Regions from separate parts of the Mus musculus genome. Here regions 1, 2, 4, 5 and 6 are each reported to be linked to region 3. Evidence: microRNA targets listed by miRTarBase, many of them from high-throughput screens and not tested one by one. Region 3 holds a microRNA gene; each other region holds the end of a gene's coding sequence. Distances are between the middles of the regions.

What was found. Region 3 holds the annotated microRNA mmu-miR-10a-5p (UACCCUGUAGAUCCGAAUUUGUG, at 1,187-1,209, shown strand). A microRNA usually pairs through its seed, bases 2 to 8, with sites in the 3' UTR of a target mRNA and lowers its output. Matches are read on the target gene's strand: a 7mer-m8 pairs with bases 2 to 8, a 7mer-A1 pairs with bases 2 to 7 and ends in A, and an 8mer does both.
Region 1: miRTarBase lists Rhbdl3 as a target of mmu-miR-10a-5p. Seed matches in the 3' UTR shown: 7mer-A1 at 3,141-3,147 and 7mer-m8 at 2,594-2,600.
Region 2: the mRNA of Lats1 is a reported target of mmu-miR-10a-5p. Seed matches in the 3' UTR shown: 7mer-m8 at 1,461-1,467.
Region 4: the mRNA of Lpp is a reported target of mmu-miR-10a-5p. The part of its 3' UTR that is shown has no 7-base or 8-base seed match.
Region 5: the mRNA of Ccdc127 is a reported target of mmu-miR-10a-5p. Seed matches in the 3' UTR shown: 7mer-m8 at 1,375-1,381.
Region 6: miRTarBase lists Shroom1 as a target of mmu-miR-10a-5p. Seed matches in the 3' UTR shown: 7mer-m8 at 1,238-1,244 and 7mer-m8 at 1,308-1,314.

Annotation. Positions count from the first base shown.
Region 1 is chr11:80,352,960-80,357,047 of GRCm38, reverse strand. It overlaps Rhbdl3 (rhomboid like 3), which reads right to left. Exons shown (of 9, transcript NM_139228.3): 9 at 1,062-3,636. The coding sequence ends at 3,365. Among named protein-coding and RNA genes, the nearest start is that of 5730455P16Rik, 23 kb to the left of the region's middle.
Region 2 is chr10:7,712,349-7,716,436 of GRCm38, forward strand. Lats1 (large tumor suppressor) reads left to right here. Exons shown (of 8, transcript NM_010690.1): 8 at 153-4,088. The coding sequence ends at 662. Among named protein-coding and RNA genes, the nearest start is that of Katna1, 12 kb to the right of the region's middle.
Region 3 is chr11:96,316,000-96,320,087 of GRCm38, forward strand. It overlaps Mir10a (microRNA 10a), which reads left to right and starts at 1,166; the gene lies at 1,166-1,275. Hoxb4 (homeobox B4) reads left to right here and starts at 2,268. Exons shown (of 2, transcript NM_010459.7): 1 at 2,268-3,224; 2 at 4,031-4,088. The coding sequence starts at 2,771. It also overlaps a transcript of Hoxb3 not described here.
Region 4 is chr16:24,978,993-24,983,080 of GRCm38, forward strand. It overlaps Lpp (LIM domain containing preferred translocation partner in lipoma), which reads left to right. Exons shown (of 13, transcript NM_178665.5): 13 at 201-4,088. The coding sequence ends at 329. Among named protein-coding and RNA genes, the nearest start is that of Gm52245, 40 kb to the left of the region's middle.
Region 5 is chr13:74,356,343-74,360,430 of GRCm38, forward strand. Ccdc127 (coiled-coil domain containing 127) reads left to right here. Exons shown (of 3, transcript NM_001168659.1): 3 at 114-3,326. The coding sequence ends at 775. It overlaps Lrrc14b (leucine rich repeat containing 14B), which reads right to left. Exons shown (of 2, transcript NM_001033042.3): 2 at 3,240-4,088. Among named protein-coding and RNA genes, the nearest start is that of Lrrc14b, 5.6 kb to the right of the region's middle.
Region 6 is chr11:53,466,231-53,470,318 of GRCm38, forward strand. It overlaps Shroom1 (shroom family member 1), which reads left to right. Exons shown (of 8, transcript NM_027917.3): 6 at 1-26; 7 at 148-420; 8 at 533-1,536. The coding sequence ends at 865. Among named protein-coding and RNA genes, the nearest start is that of Shroom1, 11 kb to the left of the region's middle.

The sequences.
Region 1 (4,088 bases), 16 Mb from region 3:
TGTATAGTATATTAAGATATATACACATACCATATATACATGCACACATATATATACACACATGTATGTATATATGTGTATGTGTATATATATATATATATATATATATATATATACATATATATATATATATATATATTCCTGAGTAGATGTGTTGTTGACAAAGACAAGGCCATGTCAAAGACCCCAGTGTGTCATCCCCACAGGAGCAGCAATGCCTTCCCTGGAAGAGACTTGGAGAGATGGGAAAGGTTTCCTCTGGTCTGTGTGTGAATATAGATAGTGTGCAGAGAATGTCTACCGTAATTTTGCCCCTCCACATGTTTATGGCCTGAAGACTGCGTCCCTACAGAGACTGTGTCTACGAGGTTAGCTACACTTGCCTTCCTGTTCATCTGGATACCACAACCTGAGTTGCCTGTCCAACAGTATATATAAACACTTTGAGCTCGTGGGGCAGGGCTGGGGCTTCTCCATCCACATCCACTCAATCCCAGATTTTCCATTCTTGAATCCACGTATTTGTCATTTCTTCATTCTGTGGCCAACTGTCCATCCCTAGAGCGACTTGGAGGGAGGTACTTAGAACTAGATGAATGGAAGGGAAAAATAGGCCTGAGGGGACAGGGGGCTGAGACTCCTCTCTATCTGCTGGCACCCACCTCGAAAACTGTCCGGGAAGCGACCTATGTGGGTGTTTTCTTTTTTTCTTTTCTTTCTTTTTTTTTTTTTTTTAAGATTTATTTATTTATTATATGTAAGTACATTGTAGCTGTCTTCAGACACACTAGAAGAGGACATCAGATCACATTACAGATGGTTGTGAGGCACCATGTGGTTGCTGGGATTTGAACTCAGGAAGAGCAGTCGGTTCTCTTAACCGCTGAGCCATCTCTCCAGCCCAGTGGGTGTGTTTTCATGGAAAGAACCTTCAGTGTTCACCAACCACTCTGAGAAGGTTAAGGAAGACAGTGCCAACCACCAGTGCCAGAGCCACCCACCCACCACTGCCCGTTTTCACTCTCCCCACCCACCATGAACCAGACACAGGCAAAGCAGGTAGCATGGCAGCCCTTGAGGTCACTCCCTGAATAACCAACAGCTTAAAAAAATCTTTAATGGAATCTGTGCTCAAATAATATGTTACAACAAAAATATACAGAATGTACACAATACAAAAATATCTAGAAACCAACGTCGCGGCTAGTGTTTTGATTTTCACTTAGTCCTGGGAGGGCAGCTCACTGACGGGCACTGTTTTTAAGGCAGAGGAGAGTCAACGATTTGCAGCCAGCCCTGGGAAGCACACAGCACTGGGTAAACCTCATTATCTGCAAACTGAATTGGACACTAGAGGAAGATCTGGGTTCGGTGAGCGATGCCTCCACTAATGCTCTAGGCAAGAATGGTTCACATGGAAATGCAGAATTTAAAGAGCCCGGTTAGGGAGCTTCTCCTAATTAAAAAAAAAAAAATCAAGTGATGAATGGTATCATTAAAGAGAAATTCCTCTTTTTTTGAAAGCCCGTTTTCCCTTGTCTGGTTTCCATGAGTCTTCTCCCCTTTAAATGCAAGCTAGTCTACATAGCTGCTGTTTGGGGATTCCCCAGCCTTTGAGGCCAACCTACAGCCTCCAGCATGAGGAGTGACTCCCAGCCCTGATGGGTGGCCACATTGGAGAGAGGAAGGGCTGAGGGACTCAGGAGAATGGAGATGAGCTGGGAGGTATTGCTGGGATGGTGAGAGGACCAGGAGCAGTTCTCATCCTCCTGCCTCCCTCCAATCTCAGACCTGTGGTTCCTTATCCCAGGGGCTGAAAGTCCCTATAAAGGTCACCTGCCTCACAGCCTCCACTTAGGGTCCCCAGAAGCGTCTCGTGCCAGCCTGAGTAGACTGTCTCAGAGGAGCAGAGGCACTGGGCTCTGAGTCTACAGTTACCTTGCCAAACACCTGATGTGGCATCCCAGGCTGCTGGGGTATGGACAGCACAAGGCCACGCCCCCCAATCTCACTTCCCTGTAAGAGTACTTCCAAGTCCCTGTAGATGGAGCCATCTAACCCTCAGCTGCTCTCACTGGGGACATTCCCTCACCCAAGCTTCCCCAATTCTTCTCAGAGGCTACGTTTTCCACCAAAATATATTTTACTACAGCTTCTTGTCCCACTAATTCACATGGAGAGATGGCCACAGTATCACTGTCCTGGGCTTTCTTTCATCCCAAAGACTTCCTTCTACAGGCGGCAGTACAGACACAAAAGCTACCCCCAAGAGAACCAGAAGAATACAGCTGAGAGTTTTCTCTCAAATGTCTGGTAGTGCTTTGGTCTTCCCTCTAGCTCGACAGTTTTTCCACCAGTCAGTGGTGCTCAGCAGGTGTTTGGGAGGGCAAGATGGGAAAGGGGGTGCATGATGCTAAAGGCAAGGCCACTGAGCGAGCACTGGAGAGCACACTGCTGCTACCCATTCCAGAAATCCCCTGTAGATATCCTCTTGTGTACATTGTCTCCCACTTCTTCCCTCTGCAGCTTCTGACTTGCCTGACATTGCACACACACACACACACACACACACACACACACACACACACACAAAACCCTGTCTCCACACCCAAAGAGAGAGGCACAAAGTAGGGTCAGGGCAGTAGAAAGGAAAGAAGAGACCCCACAGTCCAGATAGGGCATGGATGCAGAGCGATGGTCTGGAATGCTGACTCGTGACTACAGGCAGGAAGAAGAAACCGTCCTGGAACTCTCTTGGGGGAACCTGGGATGAAGAAAGTCATTACCTCAGCACAGGGCCCTCCCCTAGGGCAAGAAAAAGGCCTGGAGCTTATAGCATCTCCCTGCCCAGCCCTAGGAGCAATGCCATAGCACCACTGACAGGACTGGAGCCTGGCTTGCTCTGGGCTCCCCCGGATCAAAGCCATCACATCCATTGCCAGAGCACCAGACCTTGAGCTGCAAAGAGAATGTGGCCTAGCCTACAGTCACCTCTGGGCCGTGGCAAGCCTGGCTGTGGCTATCCTCAGAACTTCTCTGTGTCTCTCCAGGTGGAGACTAGGGAAGAGGGCTATTTGCTCACTCTGTGGCAGTGAGAGGGAATGCATGGGACAAGCCCAAGCCACAGGGACAGCCACTCTTACCCTGCCTCAGACCTTACCCATGACTCCATATCATCAGACCAGCCTAGAAAGATGACAGCAGCCACATCCATCTCCCCACCATCCTTTCAAAGCAACACGCACCCCCCAGCTCCAACAGTCTCCGGTTCTCCCTGCTTTCACTGAATTGGAGATGAGAAGCAGATGCAGGTACTTTCTCGGGATGCTTCTGTTTCCCCGCCCTGCCTTGGACCTCTGGTCCCTTAGGGGGCGGGTGGCAGCTTCAAGTCCAGCAGTGTGTAGGCAAAGATGTTCCAGAAGACAGCAAACAGCACGAAGATGGTGTACATGGTCACAAAGATCCACCACAGCGACTGGTCCTGCAGCCTCTGCTCGTAATTTCTGAGAACCACCACGCCCAGGGTGATGCCCACGGCCACGCCACCCAAGTGTGCCACAAAGCTTGGGTGGGGGCACGGGGGATAAGCCGATGGGTGGAAACGGAGCCATACAGCCCTTCCGAACTCCATACTCACTGCAAAGGGAGGAGACAGAGACACATCATAGCATGGTCCCGGCAGGGGCTGGGGAGAGATCCGGCACACAGGTTGGCCACCCAGCGTCCATTAACTCATTCACTGTCATGAGGCCAAGGGCAGCAATCAGGGAGACAAAACTATCTCAAGAGTCTATGGGGCTTGGCGATAAATCATCAATTAATTACACTCACAAGGCCATTTCATTGAGAGTTTCAGGAATGAGGCAAAAAAAAAACAATAGAAAAATCCAAGCTGGGCACAAGGCAGGGCATCCCCAAGAGGGCCTCTTGAGGAAATGTCAGACAGGGCGTCTCAAGAGAAGATGTTTGGCCTGTCACCTGAATGTTGAGAGGAGTTCTGCTAGGAGACCCTAAGAAAGGCACAGCTCTGTCCGAAGGCCCTGGTATCTCTGTGGTCATGCTACATTGCCGGGACATTTTTTTTTCAT
Region 2 (4,088 bases), not on the chromosome of region 3:
GAGAGTATATGTTTTCAGCAGTGATTATTATTAAAGGTAAAGTACCCGGCAGATCATTTAGAAAACCAAGTAGTCCAGGAAGACATTTGGTACAAAACCTGGGAAATTACTGTGTTTTATCTCTTCCTAATTTTTAAAACTCTTCTCTAAAGGTTATCAACTGGCAAACTTCTCTTCACATCCCTCCTCAAGCTAAGCTGAGTCCTGAAGCCTCTGACCTCATTATCAAACTTTGTCGAGGACCAGAAGACCGCCTCGGCAAGAACGGTGCTGATGAGATAAAGGCTCATCCATTTTTTAAGACCATCGATTTCTCTAGTGATCTGAGACAGCAGTCTGCTTCATACATCCCTAAAATCACGCATCCAACAGATACATCCAATTTCGACCCTGTTGATCCTGATAAATTGTGGAGCGATGGCAGCGAGGAGGAAAATATCAGTGACACTCTGAACGGATGGTATAAAAATGGGAAGCACCCCGAGCACGCTTTCTATGAGTTCACCTTTCGGAGGTTTTTTGATGACAATGGCTACCCATATAATTATCCAAAGCCTATTGAGTATGAATACATTCATTCACAGGGCTCAGAACAACAGTCTGATGAAGATGATCAACACACAAGCTCCGATGGAAACAACCGAGATCTAGTGTATGTTTAATAAACTAGGAGATCATTGTAAGAATTTGCAAGAGGCCTGAAGTGCAGGGGTTTTTGAAGTTTTGAGAAAATTATGCAAATGTGACAGAGTTTGTGTGCTCTGTGTACAATATTTTATTTTCCTAAGTTATGGGAAATTGTTTTAAAATGTTAATTTATTCCACCCTTTTAATTCAGTAATTTAGAAAAAATTGTTATAAGGAAAGTAAATTATGAACTGAGTATTATAGTCAATTCTTGGTACTTAAAGTACTTAAAAAATAGTGCTCTGTTTAAAAAGAGAAGCCTGGTATCTTTTGTATATATGATAAATAATTTTAAAATTCAAGAATTTTTGAAGATTTTTGAAAGACAGTTTTATCTTGCTTTAACCAAATATGAAATATAACCATATTTCCCTTGTAACTTTGGGTTTAGTTCCCAATACGCTAAAGAAATCAAGCCGTTGTTTTAGAAGGTAAGGTGTTCCTAGAGTAATTTTAATCTTGAAGTCATATCCTGTAATCACAAATACAGAGCAAAAACAATATGTTCACTAGAAATAATGCAGCTTACCCCTTCCCTCCCCAGAAGTCTTCAACCTAACCTAGCATTTTTCTTTCAGATACCGGCTTTAAAGAAGCCAGAGCACTGCTAGTTTTGTTTCCAGATTGGTATTAATGCTGCTTCCAGTTTTTGTTTTATTGGGATTTTTGTTTTGGTTTGGTTTTGGGTTTTTTTTCGAGGGGTGGGGGTATTGTTTTGTTTTGATTTTTTTTTTTTTGTTTTGGTTTGGTTTTTTGGGGGGCAGGGGATTGAGACAGGGTTTCTCTGTGTAGCCCTGGCTGTCCTGGAACTCGCTCTGTGACCAGGCTGGCCTCAGACTCAGAGGTTCACCAGACTCTGCCTCCCCCGAGAGCTGGAATTAAAAGTGTGTGCCACCACACCCAGCTGTTTCCAGTTTTAAAAGGGAACAAAGTTGCCATGAATTGAATTTTCAAACTGAAACTAAGATCTGTAATATTTGTATCTTAAAATTAGAAGAAAAATTTCCATCTCCTAAGTAAAGAAATTATTTTCAGTTTGTAATTTTTTTTTTTAATTTACGTGTATGTACTCACTAAGAAAGTACATTTTCTAGGGGCTAAGGATATGGCTCAGTGGTAGAGCACTTGCCTAACATACACAAAGCCTTGGGTTCAGTCCCTAGCCCCTGCCACATAAAGGTACCTTTGTTGTACAGTGACCAATCTTGATTGTGTCATTGATGCTATAGATTTCCTTTTTCAGAACAGTGCTACAATACAAATTGTTGGCAAAGGAAATGTAACTATTTGGCACTATTATACCTAAGAGTAGATTAATTGGTTAAAAATAATTATTAATTAACTCTTAATTGGGATGAGCATCCCTAATTAGATACATAGTAGTTTAGAAAGTGAAAACTTCCTAAGTTATTTAAGATTAATGTCCTATTTATATAATGTTTAGGTTCTAAGGAAGAATTGTGGATCCCTAACAAACATCTTAGGAACATCTTTTAGGAAGAAGAATGGGGCTGTACTCTGACCTTAGTAAAGTTTGTATGTATATTATTTCATTTTTTCAAGGTTTATTGACATGAATTGCTTTATCAGACTTAATGTTTGTGGCTAGGAATGATGTTTACCTATCTAGCTTTCTTATAAAAGATAATTTGTTTAAAACCATATGTATAGTAAAATTAAAAGCAAAGCTATTTGTTTGAATTGGGGAGAGAGAAAAACATTATTAGCTTACACTTTCATGTTGAGCTTGGAACCTGTCACGTGTACAAGTGAGCCTTCAGACCATAGATCATTTTGAGATAAAGACTATGTGAACTCAGGCCCTACTGAAAAAAAGTGTGTATCCACACATACATTAGAAAGTGTTGCATGCACTCTCAAGAGACCCTGGGTGTGATAAAACTTCCCAGACAGCAGGTTAAAGACCTACATCCTGTGAGTCAATTGCTATATCAAAGTAAGACCTTTGATATCCTTTGACTTTATTGCACAGCGCTCAGATGAGCACGTTTGTAAACAAGTAATGATCTGCTCTTGGAATGAGCCCGTGAAAGCAACACAGCACAGACATGTCTATAACATGAAAGCAGCACAACACAGACATGTCTATAACACTGTTCTAACGGCACTGGTGTCTTGTGATTCTGAGGGCTCCTGATGAGAGCTGTCACCAGACAGTCTTCACAGCATGGAGCGTCTGAAGTCTGAAGGCCCTATGCAAAGCATGCATTGAGGGAGGTTTGGCCTGGGTCCCTCCCACAGGTCAGAAAGACAGCCCTCTGACCTTCGGGCTCTTCACTCAGACTGACATTTTCATTTAGTGGTTTTACACCTGGATCATGTTCACAACGCAGGACTGCTAAGGTGCTGCCCCTCCCCACGACCATGGTGCCTCAGAATGTAAACACTAATTCTACGTCCTTCTTTGCTTCCCTCGGACAGTATAAGCTTCTAGCGTTTGTCTGAGGCAGTATACAAGGATTCGGTATCTGCAATTTTAGTATTTTGTTCACAATTTTAACATTTTGGATGCTCATGTTGGTTATTTTACCCCTGACTACACCCAGTTCTCCCAGCATAGGAGTTGCTGCTTTCTGAGCAAACAATGAGCACAGCATAGAAAACATAGACACTTAATTAAAACGGCAAAGACGCTGCTCTCCAGCTCTCCCCTAGAACCCGCCGTCTCCTGTGCGTGCCCCTTCAGTGTGTATCAGTGGTATTTATAAAATGTGCTCTATAATTATGTGCTTGTACATACTGGTATATGTTGTGCAGTGATGTCCTGAGGCAGGCCCTGTTGCTGTATCTGTCCTACCTTCCTATTTGTAATAGAAACTATAGAATGTATGACTAAGAAGTCACTTTGAGATTGACTTTTATAAAAAGTTATTTACCTTCTGCTGTTGAGAAGTGCAAAACTGTGAGTGGAAATGTTTTATTCTGATTTAATAATATGTTAGAAATTAGAAACCCAGTGGGAGGAGTTTTTAGATATGCTGCTGCTGTTACCCAAGGTACTTTAGAAATTTTCCTTTAATAAAAAAATTCCTTTGATATTTAAAGTAAAACAGTCTGTTTTTGAATCTAAAACTGTAATTTGGGTCAACATATTGGTCTATTTGTAAAGTGCCTTAGTATATTCCTTTGTGGAGGGCACTACCCAGTTTACTTTTATATTGTCTTATGTATATAAGGGTTTTATATTACAATGGAATCAATGGCAACACTACCATTTTATAAAACAGTGCTTTGCTAGGAAAAATTACAGCTTTGCAATATAACAACTGTTTTTGGATATTTCTGAATGTACTAGAACAAATAATCAGTCTGTTTTTAATGAATCTATTTGTATTTTCCCAATCATTCCCTCTAGTGTAATATTTGCTGGGATAATAAAA
Region 3 (4,088 bases):
GGGTTTGGCTTGTTTGTGTATGTTCATGAAATTGACTGTGTTGTAATTTACTCAGTAAGGGCAGAAGTATCCCCCAAGCCTAGGGTGTTATAGCGGTGGTGATAGTGAGAAAGACTCTGCTGGACACACTTGCCCTCACCTGGTCACAGCTCTCCCAGTTTAAACTCCAGATCCTCAATTTCTCATTTTTTCAGTTTAGAAAAGTCAAATGTTAGTGGGAGCTTCAGGAAGTTCACCCAAAAACTCCAGAATCCCATTTTGGCCACACAGCCAGCAACCCAAGCAGGTGGATGGGCCCAGTTAGTGAGCCTCTAGACAGAGGATCCTTGCCTGGGGATAAGGTGTGGGTAGGGGGGGTCCTCCTCACACCTCTAGGGGGGTGTCCCCTTATTCCAGCCTCCAGGAGGTATGGGGGGGATATGTGAGGTTGGGAGGGGCCTGCACATCATCTGGCTGCAACTTTTATGGTTCCTCATTGCCCTTCATTCGGAAATGAACTGCCTTTGATCTTCTTCTCAGGTTGTAAACGGAATTGCCCGTCATTAAATATGGGGGGGGGGGCCATCTGTTTGGTCTCCCAGCATTTTTCCTCACAGCTGTTTTTCTCTCTCTTTTTAGCATTCACTTTTTCCAAAAGGACTTTTATTACACCCCCTTCACACCCAGACACCTCTCCCTCCTCCCTTTGCTTTGGAAAATATCTATATATGTGTTTGATCACAAACTAAAGGCTGTGGGGGCAAGGGAGGAACCTATTTGGGGTTTTGTATTTTTTCTTAAAAAAAAAAAAGTCATGGGGGGAGGGGAGGGGCCGAGGGCACCCAGAAAGGCCTGATTCTGACTTCGAGGCAGCCTCGGGATGACCCTTCCTTCTTTTGTGCTTAGCTAATGTTTACATCTAATAATTCATGCGCCACCGAAAGTCGCGCGGCAGCCACGAGGTTCGAGTCCCTTTGCACAACAGCTGCCTTTTTAAAAAATCTTATTTTATTTTTTGAATAGAAAGTTGAAACCCCTTGTAATCCCAAGAACGGACCCACAGTGACTTTTCTGCTCCCAGATCTCAAAATTAAAACAAAACGAAATAAAAATGAAAACATTCAGATCACACCCAAAAGAAGAACGCACGGAAAGTAAGAGAACTGGAAATTTCCTGGGCCAAGAAGACCTGTCTGTCTTCTGTATATACCCTGTAGATCCGAATTTGTGTAAGGAATTTTGTGGTCACAAATTCGTATCTAGGGGAATATGTAGTTGACATAAACACTCCGCTCATATTCTTTCCCAGAAGAAAAATAGATTATTTTCTAAATGAGGACAATCCAGTGACTGCCTTCAAGAAGACTCCTTTTCTTTTCCTCCCTCAACCAATGAGGGAGAAATCTCATCTACCTGAGGTGTCCCCATGCACACCCCTGGAAGCTTGGGTCCTTGTTCACTCAAGAGATTAATGTTACTGGTGTTTTAAAATTTATCTTTAAGCCCCAACCTACCTATTCTTATTCTGGGTCCAGGGGGCTTTATTGGAAATCATGAGGAGGAAAAAAAGATTGCTGAAGGCTGCAGTGTGCAAAGGCAAAGGAAATTTGCTTTTTAAAAGGATGCGAAGATTGCTGTTTCGTTGAATTCAAGACAAGATGCCCTGAAAACATAAGGTTGCCATGGGTGTTCTTGTGCGTGTGATGTTGGTGGGGGCGTCACAGCTAGGGCTCCTTTACTTAGTATTCAAGGTTGTGAAATTTCTTTCTGCCACACTGACAGAGGCGGCGGCTTTAGCGGCAATTAGAACTCTTGGTTAGCATTGCTTCGACGAATCTGGAATTAGCAAATTACTATTCAATTGGTTTTAGGAACTTGCGGGTTTGGTTTGGTTTCATTGTATCTTCTGTCTTTAGTGGAGGGAGTCCAGCCGTTCCTCTGACCTTGGGCCTTGTGGGTTAAAGGGAGGGAGTGTTGAGGAGGACAGACTGACGGACACAGCCGATGCTCATAGTGCAGCTAAATGCGATTTGGAAGGCGAAGTCTCCCCGAATTAGTGCGTGAATTTCCTATCGATCTGCTCGCGGTTCCATTCATCTCTGACAAGTCCCTCTGCGCACCCGCCTTCTAGCTCCCGACGCCTCCTCACTCACCTCCTACCCCTCCCCATCTGGCTGCACTGAGAAGCCCCAAGCTCAGCGCCCCTATGACCTAGTGGGTACCCATTTCAAGAAGGCGCTCCCTGGTCGGCCAACCACTTAAAACCCCACACAGACACCTAGTGCGTGAGCTCCCTCTTATCCTGGGGAGGAGATGGGGCCCTATGGGAGTCAGAGAAAGGTTGGTGGAGATTAGGTAGGGCAGGGGTGGGGGCTACACCCGCAGCCCCAACTTCTGAGGGATGCAGGGTTTGTGCTCTGCCCAGCCCCCTCACCCCCAAACAGGCCCTCCAATTAACCTGCTCACTCTTTCTTAGTTCATCACCCCTCTCTGTTGTGGAGAAAGCCAGGCGAGGAGGGGGTCTCCCCGCGGGAGCCCTATGTAAATCCTGGTGTTGGGTGGGTGGGGAGGGGTAGAGAAGGGGAAATAAACCTCTTTGGCTGGAGTAGGGTCCGGGTGAGCAGATTTCCTTATCCGGGAATCGCAGGCCGGGTGGCCATTGGCTCGGAGGATCACGTGGGCCTCTAACTTTGTTCACTTGACAGTAAGTAGGAGGGCTTTCGGAAACAGGAAAACGAGTCAGGGGTCGGAATAAATTTTAGTATATTTTGTGGGCAATTCCCAGAAATTAATGGCTATGAGTTCCTTTTTGATCAACTCAAACTATGTCGACCCCAAGTTCCCTCCGTGCGAGGAGTATTCACAGAGCGATTACCTACCCAGCGACCACTCGCCCGGGTACTACGCCGGCGGCCAGAGGCGAGAGAGCGGCTTCCAGCCGGAGGCGGCCTTTGGGCGCCGGGCGCCGTGCACTGTGCAGCGCTACGCGGCCTGCCGAGACCCCGGGCCCCCGCCACCTCCGCCGCCCCCGCCGCCCCCGCCACCGCCCGGGCTGTCCCCTCGGGCTCCAGTGCAGCCAACAGCCGGGGCCCTCCTCCCGGAGCCCGGGCAGCGCAGCGAGGCGGTCAGCAGCAGCCCCCCGCCGCCTCCCTGCGCCCAGAACCCCCTGCATCCCAGCCCGTCCCACTCCGCGTGCAAAGAGCCCGTCGTCTACCCCTGGATGCGCAAAGTTCACGTGAGCACGGGTGAGTGCGTGGGCACCCCTTCCCCTCCCACCCCCGGCGCTTTACAGTGAAGGGACCTCCGAGGCATGTGGGGGAGGGAGCGAGGGGAAGCCAATTGTCCCCGCTATAAACTCGCCATTGCCAGAGATTTACGGTCTCCTGTTTTCAGAGCCACATAATTACATCGCCCATAAATTTTTATGGCCTAGTGGGCCCTGCGCCTTTGAAGTCATCCTCTTCTTCATTCTCCCAGCGACTTTTTCGCCAGGGATTCGCAGTCCCAGTAAAGTTGGAAGTTGGGGAGGGGTGTGGGAGGAGGGGAGGAGAAGGAAGAGGAGGAGGTAATCCCTATTTAAGCACAGAGTTGAATCAACTTCCTGGATTTCTTTTTTTTTTTTTTTTCCCCTTTCTTCCAATCTGGTACCTTGGCTGGAGAAGTAGGCAAAAGTTTTTACTAAGGGGAAGGCGCTGCTTGGAATCTGAGCAGTGAGGGTGGGAACTAAGCCGGGGAAAGGTCTAGGGCAACACCCCCTCCCACTACCCCACGCCATTGGGGTCCTCAAGCCAAAGAGTGAGATGAAAATCTTTCCAAGATTCCTCACAGTGCCCCTCCCCCAGGCAACAAGGACAACAGTACAGCCCTCCAAAAGTTTGAGTTTTTTTTTTTTTTTTCTTTCACGGGTCTTCCTTTTTCGACCCCCTCCCTCCAAGATGAGGTAGTGGGAGCAGGAGGCTCGGTGTTAGCTGGAAGGAAGAAAGGGTTTCCCTCCTCCCTTTCGGGGGCAATAAAACTTTCTCTTTCTCCCTCTCTCTCTGTGTGTGTCCAGTAAACCCCAATTACGCCGGCGGGGAGCCCAAGCGCTCTCGGACCGCCTACACTCGCCA
Region 4 (4,088 bases), not on the chromosome of region 3:
TTAAAGGTATGTGCCACTACTCCTGGCTACCATTGCATTTATGTTGTTAATCTCTAATTTAGTTTCATTCACAATCTGCTACTACTTGTACTAGTGTTGGGGTACAATGTCCCCATTATGAAAGCCTCTTAAGAGGCTCGGGGAAAGTGGGTTTATCCCTGTAGTTCAGTTCACTTACATCACTGTCTTCATTTCCTTAGGACTGTGGTGGTCTTCTGTCCGAAGGAGACAACCAAGGCTGCTACCCCTTGGATGGACACATTCTCTGTAAGACCTGCAACTCGGCTCGCATCAGGGTCTTGACGGCCAAGGCAAGCACTGACCTGTAGAGTCAATAGCCAGCTCAGCTGCCGAGTGCATGCCAGCAAGAAGAGCGCAACACAAGAAAAAGATAAGAGAAGAAGTAGAAAAATAGAGGCATAGCTCAACCACTAGGATAGTCTCTGTTCTTCATGTGCTATTAACCTTTCTGTAGAAGCGCATAGAGAATACGATTTGTCTACGTTCTTACCAAATACACATTTCACATTTAATCATGCAAGGCCTTGGTGAGCCTTTGTTCCAAGGACTTCCACATTTTTGCACAGATTATACTCCGTCCCATTCACTTCTGCATTCCTGAGACTTTTAATCCTCATGTTTGTCTCACTTCTCATGTGGTTGAATAGATTTTTAGTGTGGTATTTGCTGTCACATGATTTTTCCTGGGTGAATGTGCCAGCCTGCAGGTGCCTTAAGTCTTGTCCTGTCTGTCACTTTTCCTCTGGCTGTGGCTACAAAAGGCAGTCATTCTGTTACCAGGTATTGAAAAGGTGAAGTTTCCCATTGCACTACACCCCTGACGTCTCTTGCTAAAATAATGGTAGGGGGATATTTTTCTATGTTAAGCTATAAAGAGTTTATTTGAAAAAGTTAACAGGAGCCCACTTTAGTCTGCAACTATCCAAATTCAGCAGTCAAGGCTCATTGGAAAACATTGATTAGCCAATATCTAAAATGTGGGGAAATAAAACCAAGTTTCACCACTGTGCTAAAGAGGCAGAATTCTAGGTGTATCTGGAAGGCCCGTTGTATTTCCACAATCCCACCCTGAGAGTTAGCTCACCACACTCTCTGGATATAAGACTGTCAGGCTTGCTTTTGGTACATTTATAAATCTATCCAACTCTTCATCCTTAAAGCACTGTGAAACTTCACCTAATATATAAGCATGGTTACTGCAATTAATATTTATCTTCAGAAAGATAAGTATTAAAATGAATCAAATTCTTATCTTTCTTTCTTTCACTTTATAGTGACCCAAACCTAAATCTCTTTTGCCTGAAAATTGCAAATCGGGACACATAAAATGAAATTATAGGACCATGTTTCATCTTCTTTAAAAAAGAGAAAAAAAAGCTGGGAAAGATTGTGAAACCAGAGTTTATTATTCTTACAATCCTCTGTAACTCAAGTACATACTGCAGGAGACATTTTCCTATCATCAACGTGACATTCACACCACACTTTCAAAGACAATCGCTGAAAACCAAATTGTCTTTCTGAGGTAAAAATATGCGGAATGCCTGCCTGGAATCTTTATGCGAACTCTTATTAGCCAGTGAAACACTTGCTTGCCAACTGGAGCCAGTTCGCTTCGTTAAGAGGAGACACCTCGCTTTGCAGTTGCAGTTGGCCATTATTGTAAAGTCAGTATCTCAGAATGAGATTTCTCAAAGCTTTCTTTAAATCTTCTACAGATATATACCTTTAAATTATGGAATACCTTAAATATTACAGAAAGGTATAAATAATAATATAAAGGTCCCTCTATAGCTAACACCGTTCTAGAAGTATAGTCACTTTAAATTTTTTAAACTCCACAAATATCTTTTTATCTCTTTTATATAGTACTGGGAGTTGAACTAGGGCCTCATGTGCTCGGCATGTGCCCTGGCACCCCAGCATCCCCAGCTCTTCCGTGTCTTTTTCTTTTTTTTTTAATCTTTATGACATGATGATTTTCTAGTCTGACAGTTTTAATTTTAACATTTAGAGCAAAAAAAAAAAAAAACCTGTTTAATTACTTGTGCATGTTTAAAATTGCAACCCATGCCTCAGGAATTCCATAAAGTTTATTTTACTTGAATAGAAGTCATCTTAAAAGTGATTAAAAGAAGCCCTTAGGCCATTGTCACACAGCCCCTCTGGGTCAGTCTGTGGCTTATTGACTTTCTCCACAGGCAGTTTGCCTGTTAGAATCCCCAAAGCTGGCATTTTGGGGCCTTTCCCTTGCCCCCTGCTCTCACCTGGCTTCTCTTCTCTTGAGATTCATGGAGGCAGCCTGTGGATCTCAGAATTCAGTGGGCGCTCTCTAGCTCTGAATCCCTGTGCTGCAAATCAAAGGCTCACCTGTGCTGGTGACCTCGAGGAACGCTAACAGACAGTCGAGGTGAATACAAGCCTGAACTGACTAAAATGCTCACCGTGAAATATTTCAGGAAATGTCTTTAAGCCAAAAGTAGAGTGCAGTATAAGTAAGGGGCAGGAGTAATGTCTAGAAATGTAGACAGCAGAGGAAGAGTTTATGTAATATTTATACTATAGAGCAATAACATCCTCCATGTTTGTTACATGTAACTACTTGTAACCAGATGTTTACATGCAAGATTTATAGGAAAATGCTGCCCATTCTTCCCTGAGGTGTTAAGGGCAGAGCTCCCTTGCTCGTAGCCTACCCAGTGCTTTCCTGTTGAGTCACCTCAGAGGATCTTTACCAAAGATTTTTTTAAAGTAAATTTCTTTTTAATATAGACTTATACTTTTATAATAATGAATGTGCACATACTCATATACAGAAATATTTAGGATTAGATCTTTTTCTTTCACAAGGTCTCATGCAATAAAGTATCCACCACATTATTCTCCAATTACTTTAATATATAATTTACATTGCTTTCTCGTTTTCTTCTACTAAGCATTTGACTTAAGCAATACTAAATACTCTGCTCTTTGCTCTTTTATCTACATAAAGATTTGCCTACTGTAGAGATATAAAGATCTGTTACCTTAATGATTATATGCATTGCCTTTTGATATATTGCCTTACTTATCATTTAAATACATAAATAGAAAGATATAATGTCTGTAACAGAAAACTTATAAAGTTATACCTGAATTGTTTAAATATCAAGAGCACAAACATTTGGTTATTCTGTATAAAATGAAACATATAAGAAAGGAAAAAACCCACCATCATGAGCTCTGCAGAGAACATTTAAAATAATTCTCTTTCTATTTCTGGAGTGGTAGGGATGGATCTCTGAAACTTGTGTAAAATAGACAAGTGCTCTACCACAGCTAAACCTCCCATCCAGAGTAAGATTTCATAGCTGTTTGGGTTCCCATCTAAGCCTGGCTCAATATGGAGTCTGATTGGCAAACAACATTGCCTTTAGAACTCAAAAATACACCCTCCCAATCCTAGCTCATGGCCTCAGTACTAGTGAAATCCTGCCACCTCTGCAGCTCAAAGATGTGGATGTTTTCCTGTCAATAGCACACTGTCCCTGTAGGAACAACTTGTGGTCAGAATTGCTACGTGGGTTATATGCTGATTAAGGACATGAACTTAAAAACACTAAAAATGCTGCAACAATTTTATGTTGGACTTGAACAGTGTGGAACATATTAACCATAAAGAGCTCTCTTGCATTTGGGCCGTTGGAAGGGGAGAGTGCTCTGTGAGGCTGCAGCAGAGCTTTAATAGGCAGGATTCTGAAAACACAACTACCAAGCATCTTCAGAGTTACTACAAATCCTATTAATGTGAACCAGTCAGGAATAACAGTGTTATTTCTATTTGATGTGGTTTAGGCTTCTCTTGTCAGATCTGTGTCGGTTGCCCCCTGATCCTTCCATTCTCAAGTTTTGAAGGGTGTCAGGGAAATTATGGCAGCTGCTAGGGAGATCTGAGAAACGCTGATGTAACCTCCCAGCCTCTCACCATCCCTCTTGGCTTGGAAAGGCTTTTTTTCCCCATATACATTTCTAGAAATATTGCCATTCTACCTTAGCATTTCACATTTGTAGATTAAACAAGTGATTGT
Region 5 (4,088 bases), not on the chromosome of region 3:
TTAGGGTTTTACTAAAATACTGTCATTACTGTGTTACGTATTTTCTTTAAGTAGTCATAGGATTTTAGTTATGTCTCTTCACGTGTCTTCCTCATCTCTTTTATTCGTGTCAGGTTGGATTTGGTCTAGGGAATCCCAAAAAGAGATAGAAAAAGCCAGAAAAGCATATCATCAGAGAACAGCTGCTTTCCAACAGGATCTTGAAGCCAAATACCATGCTGTGATCTCAGAACACCGGCGCGCTGTGGCTCAGCTGTCTTTGGAACTGGAAAAAGAGCAAAATAGAACAAGTAGTTTTCGAGAAGCCCTCATCTCGCAGGGGCGTAAGTTGGCAGAAGAAAAGAAACTTCTCGAACAGGAACGGGCTCAGATAAAGCAAGAAAAAAGCCGGCTCCAGCCTCTGAGAAATGTCTATTTGAGCTGCCTGCAAGAAGAGGATGACTGGCAGAGGAGAGCCCAGCATGTGCTGAAAGAGGTGGGAGAAGCTCTCGAGGAACGCCAAAATATCTATTGTAGCCTGATCATCCCCCGTAGTGCACGACTAGAGCTGGAGAAGAGCTTACTGGTGCGCACATCTGTTGATCCAGTGGCTGCTGACCTAGAAATGGCAGCTGGCTTGTCTGACATATTTAAGCATGATAAGCATTGTGGAGATGTCTGGAACACCAACAAACGTCAAAATGGGAAGCTCATGTGGATGTATCTCAAATACTGGGAACTACTTGTCGAACTTAAAAAATTTAAGAAAGTAGAGAAGGTCATATTAGAAAAATAAGAATGTAATGAAACTCAAGGCCAGAGGGAGTCTCTCCCCATGGCAGTCTGCAGTCTGGGGTCTCTTGATATTTTTACTCTGTTCCTTTGCCACCAAAAGTGGCCCAGTAGAGCTACTCGTTGTGAGAACTCAAGTCTTTCCACCCTTTGAGCAGTGCAGTGGGGCCTTAGCAGATAATGTTTTTCTACGATGCTATGCAGCTATTAGAGATACTTTTTTTGAAACATTTTTGAGCTGCTAATATTTAGCAAAACAAGTACAACTATATATTTTAGTTCTAAGGGGAAAAAAATACAATATTCTTACTCTAAGAAATGTTTTCTCAGTTTTTACCTCTACTCCCTTTCCTGATTTCATGTAAGAGTTGTTGAGTAATATAGTAGTTATATTACCAAAATTTATCTTGTTTGGAACACCCCACCACCACCAAAAAACCAAATATTTCTTATGCCCAGCCGGTACCCCAGTGAATATTTAGAATTGAGCTGGTCCTGTATTCAATAAGCATGTTATTTATTAGCAATGATATGCAGTCAATAATATTTGTCATTTAAAAGTAATGGTGTTGCTTTTTTTTTTTTTTTAAATGGTTTTTCAAGACAGGGTTTCTCTGTATAGCCCTGGCTGTCCTGGAACTCACTTTGTAGACCAGGCTGGCCTCGAACTCAGAAATCCACCTGCCTCTGCCTCCCAAGTGTTGGGATTAAAGGCATACAACCACCACGCCGGGCATGGTATTACTTTTTGTGTGACTTTTACTATTTTTTTTTTGAGACAATCTTACTACATAGCCCAGGTGGACAGTCTTCCTGCCTCAGGCTCCCACATGCTGTGATTACAAGTGTGTATTACATTCTTGGGTTGATAATTTTGCATGTATTGATAAGTACTTATAACTCATTTACATACAGCTTATATGAGTTGACCCTTTGTACATAACTTACATAATCCTTACTCTGGTTTTATGAGCTAAGTACTTGTAAATGGTAATTTCTCAAGATACCCAGGTTCTGTGACTTGCCATAGTTTCTAATACTCAACCTATGGTTGCCCTCAGGACTAAGATTTGTGTTAGCAAGAAAGATAAAATCAGCAGAGAACAGGCATGTAGAAGAATCTAGAGGGAGCCAGATGGAGCCACCAGGGGTTACACTGTGGAATCCCAGGGAGCATTGTTTAGTTTAGGGGTATAACTAGAAACACAACAAATTCCCAGGAAAGCTCACTGGAGACTATCAAGATTTTGATAGAGTGAGATCTATTCATGTGACCTTTCACAGCAGTTCCATTCCCACAGGAAGGCAAGTGGTAGAAGTCACTCATAGTCTGTAAGCAGTTTAGGTATGGTGAATCACTCTTGCTAGTTACCAGCACTGGGAACTCCCAGCATCTAGACACCTATTAGGGACTAGCCTTGTGTGAGGATGCACTATGAAGTCTGTTAAGTGAGCTTTCCCACATAGCCTTATTTTACAGAGGATGGGGATAGAGAGCCTTAATATGGAGAAAGCAATCTGTCTAGGTCATAGGTAGTATTTTGTGGAGTGGATCTGAGTTGGGTGTTTGATTTACAGACATTGGAACCTGTGTGTGGTTATTTGTCAGTAGCCATGCAGGAAGTGAACAAAGTAGTCAGTTTGTGTTCAGATCCTATATTCTACCCTGTGCATATCTTTCTGTGTAGAGAGATGGCAAACTTGAAAATACTTACCCAGAAAACAGTTCAGTTATAGAATGGTTAAGGAGCACTTGGCCCGCTTCCTATTCCACATTTAGTTTTCAGAACTACCTTGACAGAGCTGATAGCAGGCACTCTGAGCAGAAGCCAGGTAATTCCACCTTCAGATAAAGCTCTTGTCCGTAGCTATTTACCATGTCTTTCTGCTGTATTACCAGTCTTTTGAGAAGTTATTTTTTTCTAGTACATCTAAGAAACAGTTTTTTAAGATTGTGTTTCCTAATTCATTAGACCATTGAAGGAAGCCACATAGGCTCTAGTTTTCTGTTACTCCACTGGTTTGCCCATGTGATCTTGGACAGACCACCTCATGGCTTTCTCTAAGATTTATCTTTTAAAATGACACATTTTCCAGGGGAATCACATCACTGTTTGAGTCTGTGGCATGCCCGCCTTCCATCCTAAGTATGCTTTCTGTCTTTTTCAACTGAAAATGTTAGTAGCATATTTTATTGCTGTTCGGGGTCAAGTGGAAGTAGACAGACCTTGGGGGTAGAGACAGCACAGGAGGATCTGGAATGGTTTACCTGTGAGAGGAGGTCCTGAAATGGGGAGGTACCTGAGAAGGGTCACATGGAGAAGGACTACAAGTGGGAGTCAAGTCCCTTGGTTGGCACACGGATGGTTATAGAGCTAAGTTTTTTACTTCAGTCACAAAAGAATTATTTTCACACTCTTAAGTTTTAAAGTTTAGATTATTACGTAAATAAACTGTACATGAGTTTAGCCACACTCCTATTTTATTAGCATTTCATTACAGTAGTACTTTGGCAAAGCAAATACTGGAAATAAAGTCTAAACGAGTCTTTCTTACGTGATGATTTGTTTCTCAAAGGAGTTGCAAAGGGCCAGGCCTCAGCCATTCTGAGGAGGAGCAGTGATTCGTGTGCCTTATAGATATGTTAACATTTACAAAGCTCATTCTTGAAAACTGAGTCACGAGTTTCAAAAAAATCATCTCAGTGTCTTCAGTAAGTTTCCAACTTTGTAATGCGCTACGTTCATAGCTATCCTCTGTCACATGTGACTGCATAGACTGTTCAGGTTAGACATGCCTGTCTTACAGTCTGAACTCTAAGCAGAAAGCAGATCAGAGTATGCCAAGAAACACTGGGCATATTTCAGTGACTAGATGTCCTCAGTCACCAAAAGACGATAAAAATCTGCTGCAGGTGGAAACAAAGCCCAAACAGCCACCGATAGAAAACTGATCATCACCCCATCCCCCACATTTCTGTGTAGCCGATGTCATCTGGTAAAATACACAGCAGATAGAACATAACTAAACTGCTAGCTCAGGGGTCTGGTTCATTTTTATTTTCAATGTCTTTTTTTTGTTTGTTTGTTTTTTGTTTTTGGTTTTCCTCAAGACAGGGTTTCTCTGTGTAGCCCTGGCTGTCCTAGAACTCACTTTGTAGACCAGGCTGGCCTCAAACTCAGAAATCCACCTGCCCCTGCCTCCCGAGTGCTGGGATTAAAGGCGTGCGCGACCACGTCCGGCTCAGTGTCTATTTTTTATGAGCTGCTGTTTCTATACATTTTGATATACATGTGGTGAATTTTCTCATTTCTTCC
Region 6 (4,088 bases), 43 Mb from region 3:
AAGGAAACAGCACCCAGGCCAAGAAAGTGAGTGGGGGAAGGGGTGGGGTGGGTAGGGGGATGGAAGCTGGGTGGGGCCGCGGCTTAGTGTCTGGTTGGAGAAATCCAGACTTGGCCCAGTTTTTGAATACTTAGGCCCTCCCGGTAGGTGGAACTAGCCCGCCTCCTCCAAAAGATGCTGCAGGATCTTCACGCTGAGCAGGAGCGACTGCGGGGGACCGCCGCAGACTGGACCCAACGCAACGGAGCTCTAGAGGCTGCTGTGAGCCAGGCCTGTACACCCCGGGAGCTGGAACGGTTCCGCCGGTTCATGACTGATCTAGAGCGTGTGCTTGGTCTGCTGCTGCTGCTAGGCAGTCGCCTGGTCCGTGTAAACCTCGCCTTGGCTAGGGCGGGCTCAAACAGCGACCCTGATGAGAGGGTAAAATAGGTTGAGGTTGGGGGAAGAGCAGGGTTTGGAGGGGCCTTCCTTCTACCGCCCGGATCATCCGGGAAGCAACGGTGTTCACTGCGCCCTCTCCCGGTGGTTCCAGGCCTCTCTGCTGCAGCGACTCCAACTTCTGCAGCGACAGCAAGAAGAAGCTAAGGAGCTGAAGGAGCACGTGGCTCGGCGGGAGCAAACCCTGCGTCAGGTGTTGGAGCGGGAGCTGCCCGCAGAGCATCTGCGCTCCTATTGTGTGCTGCTGGCCTCCAAGGCCAGGATCCTGTCACAGCAGCGCAGCCTGGACGATCGAATCCGGTTCCTTAAGGACCAACTGGACACTATCTGGAGCGACCTCAGCCATCATCCCCTTTCTCCCAGACTGACCTGGGCCCCAGCAATCCGTCCTCTAAACAAACAACCTTTTCTTGCTACCCTTATCTAGTTACATGTAGCGGAGGTGGGAACATTGTCCCAGGCTCACCCACAACTGGGGCGATGCTTTATAGAGAGCTTTCCCTTGAGGGAGTAGGGAGGAGTCAGACCAGGCCTTCCTAGGACACATCTTCCCACGGTGTTCTCCTGTGACCTTATTCAAGTTTGTAATTCTTTGGGAATTTGTGGGTCGTAAAAACTGCAGTATTCAAAGCCTGGCCTGGTGGTGTAGCTGTACTCCCCGCTATATGGGAAGCTGAAGATTTCAAGTGTAAGGTCTATCCGGGCTACAAAGGGAACTCAAAGCCAGCCTGGACAACTTAGGAGACTCTCCCTCAAAATAAGACGTAAAAAGAGGGCTGCAGGGTTTCGGGTTAGGTATACAGGGTTGGGGGAGGTCTGCCTCCACAAAAGACAGAAAAAAGAAGTCTGCAGGGGTGGGAGTTGGGGATACAGGGTTGGGGGTGTGTGTGTGTGTGAAGAGATGGACCAGCAGTTAAGATCACGTGCTGTTCTGCCAGAGGACCTGGGTTTTATTTCACGCATCTATGGTATATGGCCCACACCCGTCTGTAACTCCAGTTCCAGGGAATCTGACACTCTCTGGTTTGCACACAGGTAATGCACAGACATACATGCAGGCACAACACCCCTAAATAAACAAATAAATATAAAAGTAACTTAAAGAGAGGGCTACAGATAGAGCTGTAGAGTGCTTGCTTGCCATGTGTGAGAGTCTGGGTTCAAGCCCTCATAGAGCGACCACAAAAACAAAGCACAAGCCGGGCGTAGTGGTGCACGCCTTTAATCCCAGCACTTGGGAGGCAGAGGCAGGCAGATCTCTGAGTTCAAGGCCAGCCTGGTCTACAGAGTGAGTTCCAGGACAGCCAGGGCTACACAGAAAAACCCTGTCTCATAAAACAAAACAAAAACAAACAAACAAACAAAAACAACAACAACAAAAACAAAAAAACCAAAGAACAAAACCAAAAAAAAAAAAAAAAAAAAAAGCATGAGGAAGGATTATAAACCCTGCACACTCCCGTGTGATGGCGAGTCCCTCTGTCAGAGTTGGTGGGAGGCAGGAGGGTCAAGAGAGAAGAAGCTTAAGGTATAAACAAGCATTGCATTTTATATTCTAATAAACTCTCTAAGAGGAGCATGCATTGCCTGCAGCCGACAAGGGAAACTAACACTCTCTCTCTCTCTCTCTCTCTCTCTCTCTCTCTCTCTCTCTCTGTGTGTGTGTGTGTGTGTGTGTGTGTGTGTGAGATTGACAAACTCCAGCAACAGTCCAGGCTGACCAAAATGGAAGAGAGACTTGGTAAAGTGTCAGTCTGGCTCAGCAATGTCTGAAGAGACTGGAGAACCAGGTTTGAAAGCAGGAGGGGCTGAGGGGCATTCCACTGACCCCCACCCCCACCCCAGCAATTGCTAACTGCCCTGGTAACTGGATCACCACACAAAAGCATTTGCTATAGAAGTCTGATAACCTGAGTTCAAACCCCAGATTCCACAGAAGAACCAACTCCCAGAAGTTGTCTTTCTTTCTTTTTCTTTTTTTGTAATTTATTTATTCTTTTATGTATGAGTACACTGCTGCTGTCCTCAGACACACCAGAAGAGGGCATCAGATCCCATTACAGATTACAGATGGTTGTGAGCCACCATGTGGTTGCTGGGAATTGAACACAGAACCTTTGAAAGAGCAGTCCATGCTCTTAACCGCTGAGCCATCTCTCAAGCCCCAGAAATTGTCTTTTGACCCAACACAAATGCTGTGGCAGTCACACACCCATACACAAACACATGGTTTTGTCTGACCCTTACCAACTAACTATGCCTCCAAAATAAATATAGAAAGAAAGAAAGAAAGAAAGAAAGAAAGAAAGAAAGAAAGAAAGAAAGAAAGTCTGCTGAAGTTAGAGTCTGTCATCATAGCATTTGCCAGGCTGTGTGGAAGGTTTTTCTTGAGAACCATGAGTTACAGATGAAGATGAGGCCTGAAGTCCCAGAAAGGCAGCTAGGGCTTGTACTGTATTTAGAGAAGACTGATCCTGGGGTGGTATGTGATGGTCCAAAACACAGGACAAAACCGGCTCCATTTGTTCAGCCCTATGTACAGACAACCAGCTTTGCAAATTAACATGAGACCCGAGTCAGTATATCAGTTGCAAACAGCAGGGATAAGAATATTTTCTCTCAAAGGCTCAGGGTATTTTTGGAAGTTGGGCACATTAAAGGGCGCGTGTATGTGTATTTAAAGCCAATGGGCCTCAGAGCGAAAAAAATCTCTGCTTCTGGGCTTGTTTTCTGATGTGTATTGTCACTAAGTGCAAATGGCTGAGAACTGTAAATGGCCCTATTCATACTAAAGGCATCAGTTGCAACAGTCGGGCTATTGAGCACAGAACAATGTTCTCATTGTGATATTTTATAAAACGCATATGGGGCTCCTGCTGAGGCCATTGCAGGTCTAACGTTATGCTTTCCTTGTGTCGCCTTGAACCCTGTGGGCAGGGTCCGGGCACTAAGGTCTCTTGGAGGAGCCTTCTGCGTGGAAGCTGCTGATCTCTGCCTGTTGCCCTACGCAATTCCCATTTGAAACATCATGCTTCTGTTATGATATTCTTAGAAACACACCTAACACTGTCCACTCAGCCAATGGAAAGTGTGTATTTCAAAGCATTTCTGGCTTATGGGTGGGTATAGGGACGACTGCCATCTTTAGGCTAGAACAAACCTTGGTTCTGCGCCAGATTTTTCGAAGGGGAAATAACGAGATTTCCGTGCTCAACCCTGACAGTTTTTGAGTCACAGTTCCAGAGCTGGTCCTTGGGTCCAGCCTGATCTTGTCTCGTTCTTGCCTCAGTTTTTATCCTGTCCAATCGGTGGTTTCTTTTGAGGGCACTCAAGAATTCACAGCAGAGCATCGCAGACTTCAAGACTTTTGGGGGGTACTTGGAACCTGATGCGTTCGTTGGCCCTGCGATACACCGCCAGCAGATGGCACTGTTCCCTTATCATGGAAGCTTCCACCCACACCGTGGCCACCGGCAGCCTAGGGAGCTCGCACAAGCTCCAGTCTAGATACCAGGACTTGGCCTGGCTCTGATGGGCAATGTCCCTGTTGGGCTTGAAGGCTGGAACTGAGCCTTTTGCTTCTGTCAGAAAGAAATTCTGGCTAGCTAAGAAGGAAAAGGCTAGCTTGCCTTTCACTGCCAACAGGCCTG